Macaca mulatta: one gene and its partners. The main gene of each other region encodes a partner of the protein of the gene in region 4 in a complex. Links are inferred from orthologs where the notes say so. Each region holds a gene or a part of one and is shown on either strand. Other genes may lie near its edges. The genes, in order: CCK, guanine nucleotide-binding protein G(s) subunit alpha isoforms XLas, GNAI1 and CCKAR.

What was found.
Region 1: the proteins of CCKAR (region 4) and CCK are in contact, whole or in part, in a cryo-EM structure (PDB 7MBX), measured with the Homo sapiens proteins. The link is inferred for Macaca mulatta from reciprocal best matches to the Homo sapiens genes CCKAR and CCK. Residues at the interface, in NP_000721.1 of Homo sapiens: Cys94, Phe97, Asn98, Pro101, Asn102, Lys105, Asp106, Phe107, Thr118, Met121, Gly122, Val125, Tyr176, Phe185, Asn194, Met195, Cys196, Arg197, Phe198, His210, Leu213, Leu217, Ile329, Phe330, Ala332, Asn333, Arg336, Ala343, Glu344, Leu347; in NP_000720.1 of Homo sapiens: Asp96, Tyr97, Met98, Gly99, Trp100, Met101, Asp102, Phe103.
Region 2: the proteins of CCKAR (region 4) and guanine nucleotide-binding protein G(s) subunit alpha isoforms XLas are in contact, whole or in part, in a cryo-EM structure (PDB 7XOV), measured with the Homo sapiens proteins. The link is inferred for Macaca mulatta from reciprocal best matches to the Homo sapiens genes CCKAR and GNAS. Residues at the interface, in NP_000721.1 of Homo sapiens: Thr76, Glu138, Arg139, Ala142, Ile143, Cys144, Pro146, Leu147, Gln148, Ser149, Arg150, Val151, Gln153, Thr154, Lys155, Glu235, Leu236, Ser301, Ala303, Asn304, Ala307, Lys308, Arg310, Val311, Met314, Phe372, Met373, Asn374, Lys375, Arg376; in NP_000507.1 of Homo sapiens: Gln31, Gln35, Arg38, Ala39, His41, Asp215, Val217, Phe219, Asp354, Gly355, Tyr358, Phe376, Cys379, Arg380, Ile383, Gln384, Arg385, His387, Leu388, Gln390, Tyr391, Glu392, Leu393, Leu394.
Region 3: the proteins of CCKAR (region 4) and GNAI1 are in contact, whole or in part, in a cryo-EM structure (PDB 7EZH), measured with the Homo sapiens proteins. The link is inferred for Macaca mulatta from reciprocal best matches to the Homo sapiens genes CCKAR and GNAI1. Residues at the interface, in NP_000721.1 of Homo sapiens: Thr74, Thr76, Arg139, Ala142, Ile143, Pro146, Leu147, Ser149, Arg150, Val151, Ser156, Ser298, Asn299, Ser300, Ser301, Asn304, Ala307, Lys308, Val311, Leu315, Met373, Asn374, Lys375, Arg376; in NP_002060.4 of Homo sapiens: Glu28, Ala31, Arg32, Glu33, Val34, Leu194, Thr219, Lys314, Glu318, Ile319, Tyr320, Phe336, Thr340, Ile343, Ile344, Asn347, Leu348, Lys349, Asp350, Cys351, Gly352, Leu353, Phe354.

The regions. Positions count from the first base shown.
Region 1 is NC_133407.1:105,592,205-105,596,537, forward strand, and holds the start of CCK (cholecystokinin), read right to left. Parts: upstream 2,845-4,333; 5' UTR 2,778-2,844; intron 1,738-2,777; 5' UTR 1,736-1,737; coding exon 1,522-1,735; intron 1-1,521. UniProt on the Homo sapiens protein: This peptide hormone induces gall bladder contraction and the release of pancreatic enzymes in the gut. Its function in the brain is not clear.
Region 2 is NC_133415.1:111,642,743-111,646,744, reverse strand, and holds the start of guanine nucleotide-binding protein G(s) subunit alpha isoforms XLas, read right to left. Parts: upstream 2,848-4,002; 5' UTR 2,833-2,847; coding exon 702-2,832; intron 1-701. UniProt on the Homo sapiens protein: Guanine nucleotide-binding proteins (G proteins) function as transducers in numerous signaling pathways controlled by G protein-coupled receptors (GPCRs).
Region 3 is NC_133408.1:139,273,873-139,277,429, forward strand, and holds part of GNAI1 (guanine nucleotide-binding protein G(i) subunit alpha-1), read right to left. Parts: intron 3,196-3,557; coding exon 3,066-3,195; intron 1,420-3,065; coding exon 1,266-1,419; intron 1-1,265. UniProt on the Homo sapiens protein: Guanine nucleotide-binding proteins (G proteins) function as transducers downstream of G protein-coupled receptors (GPCRs) in numerous signaling cascades.
Region 4 is NC_133410.1:25,525,760-25,530,093, forward strand, and holds the start of CCKAR (cholecystokinin receptor type A), read right to left. Parts: upstream 2,849-4,334; 5' UTR 2,623-2,848; coding exon 2,511-2,622; intron 1,839-2,510; coding exon 1,587-1,838; intron 1-1,586. UniProt on the Homo sapiens protein: Receptor for cholecystokinin. Mediates pancreatic growth and enzyme secretion, smooth muscle contraction of the gall bladder and stomach. Has a 1000-fold higher affinity for CCK rather than for gastrin.

The DNA of each region.
Region 1 (4,333 bases), on a different chromosome or scaffold from region 4:
GACTTGTCTGGCTGAAATTCAGCCTGTATCTGGGGACAGACACTAAATTATTTTCAGGCAGAAAATCAGCAGGAACTCAAAAGCTTTCAGACTTTCTCTCTCCATGTGATAAGTATTTCTATCTTCTTCAATTTAATTAGTAGGAAAGCAAAACAGAAGGTAGTGGGTGGGGCAATTTCCCAAAGACAGGAAGAAATACAACAAATCACTGATTTGTTCTTTCCTTCTGAAGCCTCTGGGTCAAAGAGTTCCAGTCTTCCCTTCATGTGAGCCCACAGGAGAACTCTGCAGAGCCAAAGCTCTTCATCTTATCCCTTTCTGGTCAAGCCAGGGGTTAAGGTTCAAATCCAGGCCCTGGAACACCTGTTGGGTAAGAGTGCAATGGTGCAATCTCGGCTCACTGCAACCTCCACCTCCCAGGTTCAAGCTACTCTCCCGCCTCAGCCTCCCATGTAGCTGGGATTGCAAACATGTGCCATCATAACCAGCTAATTTTGTATTTTTAGTAGAGATGGGGTTTCATCATGTTGATCAGGCTGGTCTCGAACTCCTGACCTCATGTGATCCACCTGCCTCGGCCTCCCAAAGTGCTGGGATTACAAGCGTGAGCCACTGCTCCTGGCCTGCTGAATTATTTTAATGTCCAGCTGTGTTTGTACTGTTCAGCACACTCCTCCACAGCCAGTGTTCATTATTAGTGCCACTGGGGATAAAGTTGGCAGAAAAAAGCTGCCGCAATCCAAAGCATGATTCCTATGGGTCACAAGAGATGAATGGGCCTCCCTCTGAATCACACAAAGAATTGGAAGGAGCTTAGGGGAAAGCTAGCCTCAGGTCAGGACTGCCTGCATGCCACTCAGCTAGTGAGGGGCTGAATCACCTTATTCCTGGAGAAAGACTTTGATGCTGAGAAAAATGACTTGCTCAGCTCTTGCTATAACTGTGACCATCTCTGCGACAGTAAAGTAAAAACAAATACCTCTCTTGTTGGGTAATCATGTGTAAGTCATTGCAAGGAGAACACAAAACTGCTGCTGATTCTTTCCTTCTGTTACATGGTTTGGTGGAGATGGACACATTGTCACTGCTTTCTTAAACTGTTGTAGCCAGATCTCAGGCATTCTCAGCATTGACGCCTTCCTGCTAGAGGATTTCCAAGGGTTGGTATCTGGGTGGCTCCCAGGTTCTTTGCGTTTTTAGTAGAGGGTATTTAGTGTATCTAGGAACCCTTTCCTAGGGTTCAATAATTATCTTTTAATGGCTTGGTAAAATGGTGTTGAACTTAATCAGCAACATTGCTAAAAATTAGTTCAAAGAAAGCTTTTCAAGAAGGGTCCCCTTACTTATAAATTAAGTCCTCCATACCCCTTCTCAGATTGCTACAAAGGACGGCCAGAAACCATGTTGCTTGTTTCCTACCGAGAGAGGTCATCTTCATTAGGCCGGCGCTAGAGAAGAGGGTCAGCATCCAGAGCCTGGGAACAAGGGCAGAAGTGAGGGATGGGGAGGCAGCATTCTTACCTTTCCTGGCCTGCTGGATGTATCTTGCCAGCAGCGCGCCCAGGTGCGCTCGGGACTCCCCGTCCGTTCTCTGCACTGCCCTCAGCTGCCTACGGGGCGCCTCCTCTGCCCGCTGCAGCCCGGAGCCCGCGGGCTCTGCGGGAGGCACCGGCTGCGTCAGGGCGCCAGCCGCCAGTACCGCCATCAGTATGCACAGGCGCACGCCGCTGTTCATGGCTGTAGGGAGCAAAGGAGGAGGGGGCGTTAACGGAAAGGCTGGGCATCCGAGAGCTCCTGCGGCGGGCAGGGCACCCAGAAACCGGCTTAGGACAAACACAGGTGCTCCAGACTCCCCAGGCCGCCACAAGCACGAGGGCTCAAGCCGAGTGCCATGGCGCGCGCCCCCGGGCGCACACGGCTGGTCTTTGGGAACTCCACACCCAGTGCCGAGGGGCAGACAGAGACCCTGTTTTTTGCCGTGTTGAGCAGAAGTAATGTTTTCTGCTTCCCTAAAGTTTGAGGAAGTGTTTGCAGAGTGCCTCTCTTCTAACTGAAAGAAGAAAAATAAAACCCCACGAGATTAAAAATAGTGTGAAAAAAATATCCTAAAGGGAAGACTCCGTGGGAGAAATGAGAACCCTAGGGAAAGCACCTTTCCAGATAGCTAACAAGCTTTCAATATGGAAATACAGTAAATGACGAAAAAGAGAAGCACAGTTTAAAATGTAGGAGCAATAAATAAAGCCGTATTTATAAAGTTTTCTCAAAGTGTAGGTGGGAAATGGCAATAAGCCACTACGCAAAACATAGGCAGGTTTTAAAATCAGAAATATGTGCCCAGCACTCAGGCTTCCAAAGCCCCGTGCATTTTAGATCGCTAGTGGATAAAACACCCTCACATTTCTATCCGTAAAGCCTCGAAATTTTCTGCAGTATTTAGAAAATGAATTTGAATCTTAAAACCCTCTGGTATTTTATTAGAAAATATTGCAACGTCCCCAGCACCGCTGTGTAACAGCTAGCAAATCTCAATCTGCATGCGAATCTTAGCGAATGGGTATGCCGGCGCGTGAAAGCCTCTAAAGCAGCTCTACCTACCCAGACCTCACTTTTAGACCCGGAACCGTTGTTTCTGACTTCAAGAAATGTCTTTCGAGCTCTCGGAGGAAAGACACAGAAAATAGAAAAGCAAAATGGAAATGGGCACAAAGCTGACGACAGCATTCTTCAAAGACACACGACACTTGGATCCCCCGCTGACGAACCGAGGGACCTACCTTTTGGATTAGAACGCAGCTGGCTTGGCGTTTCCAACCGGAGCAGCCCGGCAGCTGAGCCAAGTTCAGGGAGGACCAGAGGGCGGCTGCCTCTTAAATAGCCCCGCCCGGCGGCGTCGCCCAGTCATGTATTTACCCAGCGCTGACGCAGACTGGCAGCAACACGTGCTCAGAGGGTGGCCACTGGGACGACAACCGGTTGAAGTGGCTCCTGGGGGAGAGGGGGAGGTGGTCCAGTGGGGCGGATTTAACCCCTCCCTGGCTGGGCCCGGTGTCTGCCCCCCTCTGGGTCCGAGAAGCTTCCTTCCAACCCTTTCCAGCTGCCGCTCCCCTGAGCATTCCAGAGCAGTGCTCTCCAAGGTGGGAAACCTAGGAGTTTGGAGTCTTCCCTGGGATGGAAAAGCTGCCGCTAGCTTAGTTCGCTTTGGGGACCGGAGGGTCCAGAAAGGAAACTGGGGCGGGGGTTGGGGGTGGACACTGGGCGGGACTGAGCGTCAGTAAGGCGCGATTCTGAGAGGGATGGGGCGTGGGCCCCCCTACCCCGGAGCGTCCGAGGCGCTGGTCTTCATACTTGTGTGGGCTCTTTCGAAGGAGAGAGGAGTCGGGGTCTTTACTTTCTTCTCAGCCGCATTAAAAGCCCTCGCAGTTCTCCAGGTTTCTGAGAGCTAGTGTTCCGGGTCAGTGAAAGGGCTCCGGCCACAGCTGGCTGTTGGTGTTCTGGGCCTTTCTTTACGCAGCTGTAAAATGGGGATGACACCATCTGGCTTTGCTCAGAGGAATCCGGCTTGGGAAAGCGATGTGTTTCCTTCCCTGGCCAACTTACAGCCACCCGCTGCGCTCACTGTTCCCAGCTGCCGACAAGCGGCGCCAGCGAGGGTCCTGGGGAACTTGCACACCGCACCCCTGCAAGCTTGGGTAGACCACGGCATTCGCCCCTCCCACCTTTCCGGAGGGCCCACACACTCACACCCCTAGGACCGTACCTGCCAGAACTCAGCTGCGCAGCCTGGAGATGAGGACCTCGCCCGTCGTCACTCACCCGTCCGGTGGAGGGAAGGGAGGCACCAAGGCTGCAGTGCGCCTTTCCCTGCGCGCGGTTACTCTCCTGGCTCCGGAGCGGGCCGACCCGTAGTCCCTCAGTGCGCGGTGGTCGTCTACACCCTGAAGCCCTTTGAGTTCGAATCGGCTTGCTGGTGCTTGAGTTCGCGACGTCCCCGCAAAGGCACTGCGAACCCCATTTCACAGACCGCAAACCGAGGATCGAGGAAGAGCAGCGCTTGCCAAGGCTCCACAATGCGCCCCTCGCCCTCTCCGTGCACCCAGGCAGCCCAGCCTGGGACCTGGAGATCACCAGGCATCCCTGAACCTTGGGACCTCAACTCCTCTCCCTTTCTTTCCCTCATTCGTCTTAGAGGGAAGGAGAAAGATTTAGAAGCGCTTATTTTAAAATCGGAATCCGTATTCCGCTCTGGAATTCCCTCTGGAATGGAGGGACTGTGGCGATGACAGTGTGGGGGTCGAGTGGGTGAGGCGGGGGTAGGGAAGGTGGGGCGGGG
Region 2 (4,002 bases), on a different chromosome or scaffold from region 4:
CGGGAGGCCCCGCCACCTTCCCCGCGCGTACTCCGCACGGCTCACCGCAGAGCGCCCGGGCGCAGGTACCACCAGAGTGTGCGAACACTGAAAGTTTTTTGCCCGCGCCATGACGCAAACCACAAGACAGCCCGTTCCCAAGTACAAGTACACAGTCGCCGGGTAATTTGGGGGTGCCGGGATAGGAACGGGAGACACTTTAGCGTATCATGCACAGGCGAACACAGAATATGGACACCAACACACACCAACGACAAGCTGTCTGAGTCCAAGCAGCCGTGCCAGGCGAGGCGGGGGCGCGCCTTTCCCAAAGACCCTAGCCCACCATGGACCCCACCAGCCTAGCCAGGGGAGCCCCGGGGCCCTCCCCGGCAGTTCCTGGCTCACCTGAAAGCCCCTGCCTGTCCAGCTTACGGTTGCTGGCGCTGGCCTGTCCAGCCGGAAACGACCCTCAGTGTCGCTCGGCATCACTTTTCTCCCTGGAGGGCATATACTTCGGCCACCCGAATCCACCCAAGATCCCCTCCCGCTCCCAGGGCATAGTTAGGGTCCCTCCCTGGAACTTTCTAGCAAGCTCTTCCCGCCTTTGGCTGGATCCCCTCCTCCCACTGTCGAGCCCCGAGCCCCAGCAGGCAGCCCTGCCACCCCCTACCCAGTTCCCCGGCGGCCCTGCTGCCCGCAGGCAGAGTCCGCCGCATTACCTAGAAGCAGCAGGCGGTGCGTACACATGTAGCCCATCTTTTCGTCCTGGAGTTGTTTGTCGATGAGCTTGCTGCGTTTCTTCTCTGCGCGCTTCTGGGCCCGCTTCTCCAGGGCTTCTTTGCGCATCTGTCTGCGCTTCTCCACCAGGGGTACCTTCTTGACCTTGGAGGAGTGCGAGGCTTTGGGCTGGGGACTCTCAGATCGACCGAAGCAGCCCCCGAAGGCTTGCATGAGGAAGTTGCGGAGTAAGTTGCGCTGGGGCTTTCGGCGGCGGCGATTTCGCCGATGCTGAAACCAGCGGATGCATCCGAAGGTCCCATCGTCGGACTCGTCTCCGCTGGAGTCATCGTCGCTGCTGGCCGCCCCTTCATCGTAGTACACGCGGCGGCCGCAGCTGCGCTCGGACTTGCCCCGCCAGGCAGACGCGCGAGCAGGCCGCGGAGTAGGCGGATCGGCAGCCTGGATCTCGGGGCTGGGGGGTCTAAGGTGATGGAGCTTGCGTCTGGCCCCGGAGGCAGGGGCTGCCGAGGCCGCCCGGGCGGCTTGGGCTGCCCGGGTGGCAGAAGCGGCTGGGGCAGTGGGAGCCCCGGCGTCAGGCGCAGCTGGGGCGACATGGGCTGCCCGGGTCTCAGCAGCCGCAGGGGCCGCGGGAACCTCAGGGGCTGCCCCGGCATCTGGATCGGCTGGGGCGTCAGGGGCTGCCCCGGCATCTGGAACCGCTGGGGCGTCAGGGGCCGCCCCGGAGTCGGGATCGGCCGGGGCGTCAGGGGCCGCCCCGGAGTCGGGATCGGCCGGGGCGTCAGGGGCCGCCCCGGAGTCGGGATCGGCCGGGGCGTCAGGGGCCGCCCCGGAGTCGGGATCGGCCGGGGCGGCAGGGGCTGCCCCGGAGTCGGGATCTTCTGGGGCTGCCCCGGAGTCGGGATCCGCTGGGGCTGCACGGGCTGCCCCGGTGGCGGTATCCGTTGAAGCTGCCCCGGCGGCAGGGGATCCGTACCCCGGAGAGGGGACTTTTCCTCCCTCCGCGGCATCAGCGGCTGTGCTTCCTTCCATCTCTGCTGCTTCCTCCTCAACTGGGGGTCTCTCTGCTCGCTCTCTCTTATCTGGGGCTCCGGAGACCTCGATGGGCGGGCCGTCAAGCGCGATTGGGGGGCTGTCCATGTTGACGGGAGCGTCGTCGACCCCAGCGGGGGCGCTGCCAATCTCGAGCGGGGGTCCGGAGATCTCCATCGGGGGGCCGCTGCCCGTGAAGTTAGGAGGAGGTCTGACAGCCTCTCGGGATGGGCTGCCGATGGCGCCTGGGACCCAGAGGGGAGGCGCGTTCGCGGCGGGAGTGAGGCGGACCGCACTCGAGGCCGCGACTGCCGCGAACTGGCCACCGCGGTCAACTTGTGCGATAACTCGGGAAAGCCCCGGGGGTGGGCTGTCGTCCCCAGATCCTTCTCCATCAAGCTCAAATGGCATAGTCTCCTCAGGGGGAGGGCTGTAGCCTCCTCTGGAGCCAGTCTTTGGAGGCCTGAGGGCTTGGGGCTCCTCGGGAGGAGCTCCGGGGACCCCTGCAGCACCTGGGCCTCCTGGAGCAAGGTCTGGGACCTGTAAGAGAGGTTGACTGCAGCCTGTCTTGGCAGGCTGGTCAAACTCAAAGGGCATAGCTTCTTCTGGTGGAGGGCTGTATCCTCCCAGGCCTGGTCTGGCACCACTGAAGGCTCCAGGTTCCATGAATGCTGGGCCGAAGGCCTCAAGGCCTGCATGGGCCCCACTGGGGGATCCAGGCTGCTCCAGTGTAGGCCAGAAGCCTCCCAAGCTGGGCTGTTCGACCTCGAAGGGCATTGCTTCCTCAGGAGGTGGGCTGTAGCTTCCATGGGCTCCAGCTTCCCTGAATGCCTGGTTGAGGACCTGAAAGTTGGGCCTGGAGACCTCTGGGGGTCCACAGGCCTCGCTGTCATTCTTGATGGGGATGGGCTCGTTGTGAGGCGGTTCGGTCTCCATCTCTTCGGCTGGGCTAGGCCCAGCACCGGGGGCAGCTGCCCCTGGGGCCTCCAAAGATGGTTGATCGGGCTGTTCCCCGATTTCAGGGGGGATATCGCGTTGTCCTGACATATTATTGCCGTCGAGGCAGTTGCGCACGCCCATAACAGGGTGGCGGCCTCTCAAAATAAGTTTGGGGCTCCGTAAGACGGAGCACCCAACCGAACTAGGGTGAAAAAATTATTATTATTATTTTTAAATCAAAGTACCAGCTGGAAAGTTCACCAGCCTCACTTTCCAACCCTTGTGAGGTTGGGGGGCTTCAAGGCCTGGAACCCTAGACTGAGGCTGAAGCAACTCAATTGTTGCTGGTGGAGTCTTGGCTCCTTTCTGGCCACTTTTTATCCCCTCAGTATGCCCCCCAGCCCCTCTTCCTTGGTCTGTCCTTATGCCCTCCTCTCTCTTTCTTTCTCCTCCAGGCCAGTCCCGCCTGCTTGGATCTGACGAGCGTGCCGATTCGGTCCGAAAATCGCCAGTAGCGCTCTCTCGCTGCCACCAGAGGACGCCGGTTCCAGTGCCGAGCTGGCTCCAGCTCCAGAATCCTGCTCCTCGCGCCGCGGCCCGGGACTTTGGGTAAGGGGGCTGACGAGCGCAGGCCTCGCAGGGACGTTTTGGCTCCTTCCACTCCTCTCCCTGACTGATTTGGAATCTTTCTCCTCGCTTCTCCCCTGGCCAGAGAAAGCTCTCCTGCGTTGCGGGACACGTGACGCAAGACGTGGGCCTCGGGACGCTGGAGTACAGGAGCTGAAACCCTCCCTCCCCAACCCAACCGACTCCTCGGGGGAGGGGGGACTGAAGAAGGGTTTCATCACCCCAGGATACCCCTGAAACACTGAGTCATAGCCCCCAGCCTCCAGGCAGCTCCGGATCTCAAGCCCCTAGTCCAGAGCGCAAGGCTTTTGGTGCCTGAGAAGGGGCACAGGCATGCGTGGGGATGCGACAGGTGGTCGTGAGCCCACCAGAGAAGCAGAGAGAGACGAGGGAGAGGGGATGCCGAGTATGCGAGCACACAATTTGTTTTTTAAATGCCTTGGGTGTACTTTTTACTGCTTTTGTTTGTTGCTTGCTGAGGTTGGCTCCGGTAAAGCACTTTAACAGCCCCCACCCTCATCACACTCTAGGGGTCTCCGCAGTGGCCCACGCAGCGCAAGCAGGGTGCTCCCTTGTTTATGTGGATGGTGACGCAGGGGAATAAGAAGGTCTCGGGTGCGTACCACCAAGAGCAAAGCCCCCTAGGCAGTAGCTGCGGTGGCACCGATGGAGGGGTGGGGGGTG
Region 3 (3,557 bases), on a different chromosome or scaffold from region 4:
ATATTTACCAAAGAACCCTCCCCTTTTGGTTTCAGTGAATGTTTAATTAAATGTAGCCTAGCCATGAATGGTCGAGGAGCAGGAGGACAATGGATTTGGGTCTGGAACTGCACTCTGGCTTCACTAAGCCTCGCTATTCTCATTTGTATGGGTAGGGATACCCGAGCACTGACATCACAGGGTTGTCTTAACATTTCCTGTAAAATGGCAGTGAATACTCATCGTACAATTGACTCAATACAAGACTCAGGAAAACGTTGTTTATAAAAAAACAAATCCTTGAGACTTTTTTAAAAAAAACAGGAAGAGTGGAGTGACGGTAAATAACTAAACTCTTCAAAGTAGATTTGGAGATTACATACACCAGTGGTAGTCAAACTCCTGTTTTTTAAGGCATATTGAATGCTCTTCACTAAAATAAAACCTTACTTGATATGGAAACCAGATGAAAGCTGAGTTCCTCTGCTTTAATGAAAAAGTTATAAGGTGGCGGGTGCGGGGGGCAGTAATTAGTTCTGTTCCCTCTCCCATCTCCACCTTCAACAGCAACCCAGGAGGTGCTCCAAGGAACTAAACTAAACCAAAACTAATGTTTTAGCCCAACTCCTGACTTCACAGATGGAATACTGAGACCTAGGTGAACTAACTGCCTTGCTCAAGATCAAAGAGCTAATTATGGAAAAGTCAGGACTGTACTTCAGGTCTACTTTTCTCACTCCATGGAATTTTCCACTGTAGTAAAATTAAAGCACTATTAACAGTCTCATTACCAAAGCTTAGGCTTCTTGCGAAACCTTCCCTGCCCTTCTGGAAGAGTTAGCCGCTTCAATGATCCCATCTTCATTTTCCCCCTTACAATAATGTTCATGTTCCTTTTTAGCAGTAGGATGCACTGCTATTGCTTGTTGTTTAAGTATGTCTGTCTTTGAGATTAGATGGTGGGCAGAGACATGTCTTATTTATTGTACATCACACAGTACTGATATGAAATCTGTTAACTTGGTTTAAAAACAGTATTTTAACTTGGAGTCATCACTAAACATTATCTAACAGCTTTTCCATAAAATGAATACATTATTTTCAGTAATTTCCTCCACATCTTAAGGAAATTTCTGTGCTCAACTGCAGTTTGATAAATAATATCCCTTAAAGGTCTAAGAATCACTAAGCCAAGAGATTTAAATTAACAACTGAATTCTTGCCTTAGGGAAAGTTTCAATTAGAAATATGTAACTTGACAAGTGATTCCCAGAAAAGTAAAATACCTGCATATTCTGGATAGCATATAGTGAGAGGGCTCTTCTTGATTTTTTCTTCAAAGAGATCCTTCTTGTTGAGAAAAAGTATAATGGATGTATCTGTAAACCACTTGTTGTTACATATGCTGTCAAACAACTTCATGCTTTCATGCATTCGATTCTATAACAGAAAAAAAGAAAACCAATGGTCACTAACAGCAAGGACTTTTAAGGAGTATTTTAAAAAATAATAGGTGTTGTAATAAAACAGAGTTTAGTCATTGAAAAATACATAACATATCACAAAAATACATTTCTGTCATTTCAGAACACACTTTCACTTTAGGTGAGAGAAGTGTCTAACCATCTTTCATCACTTTCTGCATCCAACTTTTACTTGCTAAGTGCCCACTATATGTCATGCTCTATGCCAGAGAACATCCTGCTACAGGACAGTATAATCTAGGATGTGAAATGTGAACTTGTGAAAAGAAATGACATCGTCATAGAGCTTATTTCATCTAAGTTTCCATTAAAAGATAAACAGAGGTTTTTAAAGATTAATAAAATTGAATTGAACAAGCTAAGACCCAATTAGCCCATTACTCTAAATATTACAATAAATATAAATACTGGAAGAACACTTCCAATTCCTGTTTCTGGAACTTCTAGGATCTGTGCTCATCAAAGAGGGCACTGATACATTTTGTAGTGCTGAAATAAGAGAAATGAACATGTGGTGTTGCATTGCACTATAATTTCATAGACTTGATTTTAAAGATATAATCGTCTCTCGGTATATTCAGAGGGATTAGTACAAAGACCCCCAAAGGTACCAAAATCTGCATATACTCAAGTCCAGCAGGCGGTTCTGTGGAACCCACGTACAGGAAAAGTTGACTTTCTGCATACTCAGGTTTTGCATCCCATGAATGTGCTTGGTTGAAAAAAATTCTCATATATGTGGACCCATGCAGCTTAAACCCCTGTTGTTCAAGGGTCAACTGTACAAAAGACATTTCTACTCCTTTTTCCCCACTTCGTAATAAAGTTAACTTAAAGTTTTACATTTCTATTTAAAAATACTTCCCCCATATTAATGGTACATTGAAACCTATCTGAAAATTACAGGGCAGCAACAAAGTATAACATATATTAAAGATTTACTGGCTGGGTGTGGTGGCTCAGGCCTGTAATCCCAGCACTTTGGGAGGCTGAGGTGGGTGGATCACCAGAGGTCAGGAGTTTGCGACCAGCCTGGCCAATGTGGCGAAACCCCATCTCTACTAAAAATACAAAAACCAGCTGGGTGTGGTGGCACGTGCCGGTAATTCCAACTACTTAGGAGGCTGGGGCAGGAGAACTGGCTTCAAACCGGGAGGTGGAGGTTGCAGTGAGCCAAGATCGTGCCACTGCACTCCATCCTGGCAACACAGCAAGACTCCATCTCAAAAAAAAAAAAAAAAAAAAAAAAAAAAAAGGATTTACTAAACTAATAGAAGTAACAAATTAAGAAAAGGGATCTTGAACTACTATGTAAATATATTTCCATGTGCTATGTTGATATCAGATACAGAAATGCATAGTTAAGCTTACAGGCTTGAGGTGAGATTGACTCTCCATACTTTCCTTTTCCTCAAGATCCACCTGTGCTTCTCTAGTATATTTCTCTTGTATTAGGCAAATAGAAAAGTTAGAGGAAAGACCCTGTACTTTCAAATTGTTATAGACATTAGAAAGAATTTAAGAATTTTTCTCAGAAAAATTCTTGGCAACACCTTCAGCTCTTCATGTTTCAAGCTCAACTCTTAAAGTAGTTCTACTTGCCATTTCTTCATCTTCAGCTAGAACCAGATCGTAGTCACTCAGTGCTACACAGAAGATGATCGCCGTCACTCCTTCGAAGCAATGAATCCACTTCTTCCGCTCAGATCTCTGACCTCCCACATCAAACATTCTGTTAAGAGGAGAAATGAGTTAACATCATATTAAACGTTCAAGAAGTTCTGAGAAGTTCTTTAACAAAAAAAGCTCTGAATAGTTGTGGAAATGTGTGATGAAAAGGAAGGAGAGAAGGACTTTATGGGAGGAAAACAATGTCACAAACTGGACTTCTCAAAAGGGGAAAAAATCTGCTAGTTTTTAAAAGTTTTGATTGAAGGGAGGGTATCTCTAAAACAAAAGCAAAAACAAAAGTACCCTCAAAAGACAAGACGTTAACACATGGAAGAACACTTAGAACATTAAAGCAAACAAATGAATGGACTGCACTGTGTGTAAACACTGAGAAGTCACATGAAGCAACTGGGGAATGCAGAG
Region 4 (4,334 bases):
CTTTCAGAATGATGTTTCTTTTCTTTTGGCCAATAAAATTGTTTTTATGCTGTTGAAATTTGCATAACATAAAATTAAACATTTCAAACTGAACAACTTTGTGGCACTCAGAATGTTTTGCCACCATGAAAACACTCGTTTTAAACCTCGGTTCACATTTTCCGGTTAAGGTTCCCAAATAGTATTACCATAAGATATATATGGATGGGCCTTGGATGTCTACAGCACTAGTTATTATTATTGCTTCATTATTTAACAATGATCTTTGTCCTTTGTAAGTTTCGTCCTTTTTTTTTTTTTCAGAGGACTTGGACACGGATTGACACATTCTTGGTTTTTGGTGGCACGAGGGTCAGAAATTCATCATCATTTTGTCAGTGCGGAATCCCACTTCCCCAACTGGGAAAAACAAAGACTTTTAAAGCCTTCCGGTCATTGAAGACTACCCTAGCCCAGCTCACTGCTGCATATTCTTCAAGGCTTGGGTCAGAACAAAAATAACTCCCTGCTTATTTCCCACCTCTGCCCCTCTCCCAACTAATTCTCAGAAAGGGCAAGGGACTAGGCAATCTGGCACCCAGAGGGGACCAAGAAATGTGTCTTTGTTCAACTCCAGGAGAACCACAGCAGTTGGCAAACTGAGGTAGCATGCTCACCACTGTGTGGCTACTAATCTGGACTCAAATCTCAGCTCTGTTGCTTACCATCTGTGTGGCTTTAGGCACATTATGAACCTCTCTGTGCCTCTGTTTCCTCCTTAATGAGACAAGGAAGAATCATTGCATTTACTTCATAGAGTGGTTGGGAGGTAAGGTAAGATCATGAAAGTCAAAGCACTTAGTACCACATGGGGTGCATAAAAGCACAAAAAATTTAGCTCTTGTGATTTTCATTATCATCATTTTTGTTTGGCATAGGCAAACAGCTACATATCTCAGCCAATCAGGGTCAGCTTAGCGACCCCACAGCCCCCAGGAGCAAATTCAACTCCTCATCTAGGGGCAGAGACCTCTCTCCCTCTGCCAGAGATGGTCCCAGCTTTGGGGAGAACAGGCTGAGAAGTGAATCCTGGCAAGAGAATCTGGAACTGTGATAGAACTGGTTTTCAAATAGCCCCTGTTCCCTAAGAAAACAAGAGGAACAATGACAAAGAACCCTCCTCCATAATCCTTACCCTCCCTAGAAGCCGGGACTCAAGTTGGGTATAGCTCAGGACACAGTCAACAGCTTCCAGAAAGGGATAGAGCAGCTTAAAGTCACTTTTGACTTCAAACAGAAGGAAGCAAGTCCCTCTTTCCTTCAAATAGAATCAGGCAAAATTAACTGCCCCTGTGTTTTCCTATCAATGTATTTCACTCTTAGAAACTGACCTCCAACGTGGATGATGGGGACCGACTTACGGGGAACGTATAAGGATGACCGTCAAGTCAGCAGCTATGTCCTTGCACACAGCCGTGCACAGCCTAATGTTCTGTGATTCAGCCCTCAGCAGAGGTCTTCTGCTGTGATTGTCAGAGGTTTGGGAAGGTCTGGGGCTGAGTGGGGTCTGGGGCAAGCTCCAGAAAGAGTCACCAGCAGCAACTTACCCATGAAGTAGGTGGTGGTCTTGCAGACGGCGCTCCCGAAGATGAAATCCTTGAGCAGACTGGGGATGAGGTTGAACGGCATGCAGAAGAGGCAGAGCATGAGATCGCTGACAGCCAGGGAGAGGAGGAAGATGTTGGTGACTGTCCGCATCCGCTTGTTCCGAATCAGCACGGTGATGACCAGCGTGTTTCCCAGCACGCTGAGCAGGAATATCAAGGAGTACAAGAGAATCTGCACCGCTGGCTGCCACTCTGCAGACATTAACAGGAGCAAGACGGAGGGATGGAGGTGATGAGAGCAGAATGCTAAAACCGAAGCCAAGGGTGATTTCCTGCCGATTTCCCCCCTCACCGGGGTGTACATCACTGGACCCACCATTCCTGTCCTGACAACATTTTGCAGAAACAAACTGAGGAAAGCAGAGACTGAATTATTTTGTTTGTAGAAGGTTGGTTTGTTAAAGGATCACTCAGGGAACCACTTTTTCTTAAGAACAAAGCTCCTCAAGTGAACAGTGATCACTTTCTTTCCTGGCTGCTAAGCATGATTTCACTGTAACCACTTCACGCTGGTTTCCCCCCAAGAAAAGAAAACGGCTGCATGGTGACAACACCTTTTCTGCTGTGCTTGTAAGTTCAGGCTTTGACACTTGTACTCCCTCTTGCTTCACTCAGCTTTTCCTCCCCTGCTTTTGTTCCCTCAAGTCCTATTCATGAATGCCCAACTCTCCCATGGGGGACAATAAGAATATTTGACTCTATTCTGCTTGTTAATCTCTTCTGCAAACTTCTGAACATATGACTTTATCCAGCCTTGTCTCACAATGACTTGGTTATGTATATTTTTTTATCAGCCTTGCCTTTGCTGATTTCTCCCGCAACTCAGTAGTTTCCTGGATTAAAATAACAGCTTCCGACACTTACCTTTGGAGGGACGAGGCTGATCCAAGCAGAAAAGCGTCTCATTTTCGAGCCCGAGTTCGCAGGGAGGAGTGATGTTGCTTCCATTCACAAGAAGGCTGTCAACCACATCCATCCTTGCCTGCTGCTTTCCACCAAGTGCTGGAGAGCTGGTGAATTGCTCACTCCCTGCTCATTTCTCTAATGACTGAAGCGTCTCCCAAATGCAACCTGCCGTGGAGGAGCAGGGAGGGAGTGATTTCCAGGTGTGGGCTTTTTCAGCCATTCCTAAAGGCGACTTGAGTTCACCACACTCACTCCAGCTGGGCAAGCATTTGCACTCCTGTTGTGGAAAAGGCAGTGAGCGCAAGCGAAGCCCGCTCCACCTTCACCCCCCACCCCCCCGGCCCTTTCCTGGGCCAGTCTTAGGGCCCTGAGCACAGACAGCCTGGTTGCCTGTTAACCATTCTCAGAGTGTGGCTGCTTTTATACACACATGTGTACACACGCACGGACACATACACACACACACAGGCTTCCCCAGTACTCCTCTATATAGGAACCTGTCACCATCCAAGACATGTGCAGAAGAAAGCCCAAACTGGCTGTATGAGACAGGAACAATTAACACGGTAACAGATCCGATAATGCAGACCATCAGGCCTAAAGAACACGGAGGGACTGTGTTCTACCTCCTTATAGAAAAGCAATTAGTGCCTTTTTAGTTCTGGAACCATGCCCGGTGGTGTGTGTCTGTGGATAGAACTGCTGGCTGGTTGTTAAGTTGCTACTAAACACAGTGTTATTTCTCGTGGTCTCTGCCCTTGTTAACTAGAAGGATTGAGGTACTTTTGAACATAGGTACCTGGGTCCTTATTACAAAAGATGTTAGTAAGATTTCCTCGTCATTCATGAAGTCTTGCATTCAGCACATCTTCATTGAGAGTCAATCATTTGCCAGGCACTTTTCTATCATGTCAGCAAATAATGAACAGAATTATTTCAGGTAGTAAGTACTATGAAGGAAGTAAAGCAGGGAGACGTGATGTATACAAACAGATTAGGGACTGATTTTTTGGGGGGCGGGGACAGGGTCTTACTCTGTCCCCCAGGCTGCAGTGGAGTGGTGCGATCATGGCTCACTGCAGCCTTCATCTCCCTGGCTCAAGCAATCCTCCTACCTTAGCCTCCTGAGTAGCTGGGACTACGGGTACACACCACTAAGCCCAGCTGATTTTTTTAGTTTTAGAATAGAGGCGGTCTCGCTATGTTGCCCAGGCTGGTCTCAAGCTCCTGAGCTCAAGCAATCCTCCTGCCTTGGCCTCCAAGTGTTGGGATTACAGTTGTGAGCCACTGCACCTGGCCTGGGGCTGCTAATTTAGAAGGGGTAGTCAGGAGAGGTGTCTCAAGGAGGGGACTGTGATCTGAGACCTGAACCACAAGGAGGACAAAGTCTTGTGAAGATCCGGGGACAGCTTCTCCCAGGCAAAAGGAGGAGTATTTTTAGCAGTGGTAACAGCACGTGCAAAGGCCCTGAGGTGGGAATGAGGGTGGCCCCATTGAGGTATGAATAGATAGAAGCAGGAGTGAGTGAGGGGCAAACAGCAGGACATGAGATCAGAGAGGGGGACCAACTCAGGGGTCTGGGTGTTCCATGAAGCTCTGTGGTGCTGGAAAGCCCTTCGGCCTCCATTGCACCGATTATCTCCTCAGTTCAGACCCTTTGGAAAGCACACGACAATGGCTGTGGAACCTGCGTTTCTGACGTGCTGCTTGGCTGTGCTGAGACTTGGTCTGTTTGCTAGATACCCGTGGGGCTCCTTGTGTACTGACAGTGCTTCCGCTGGC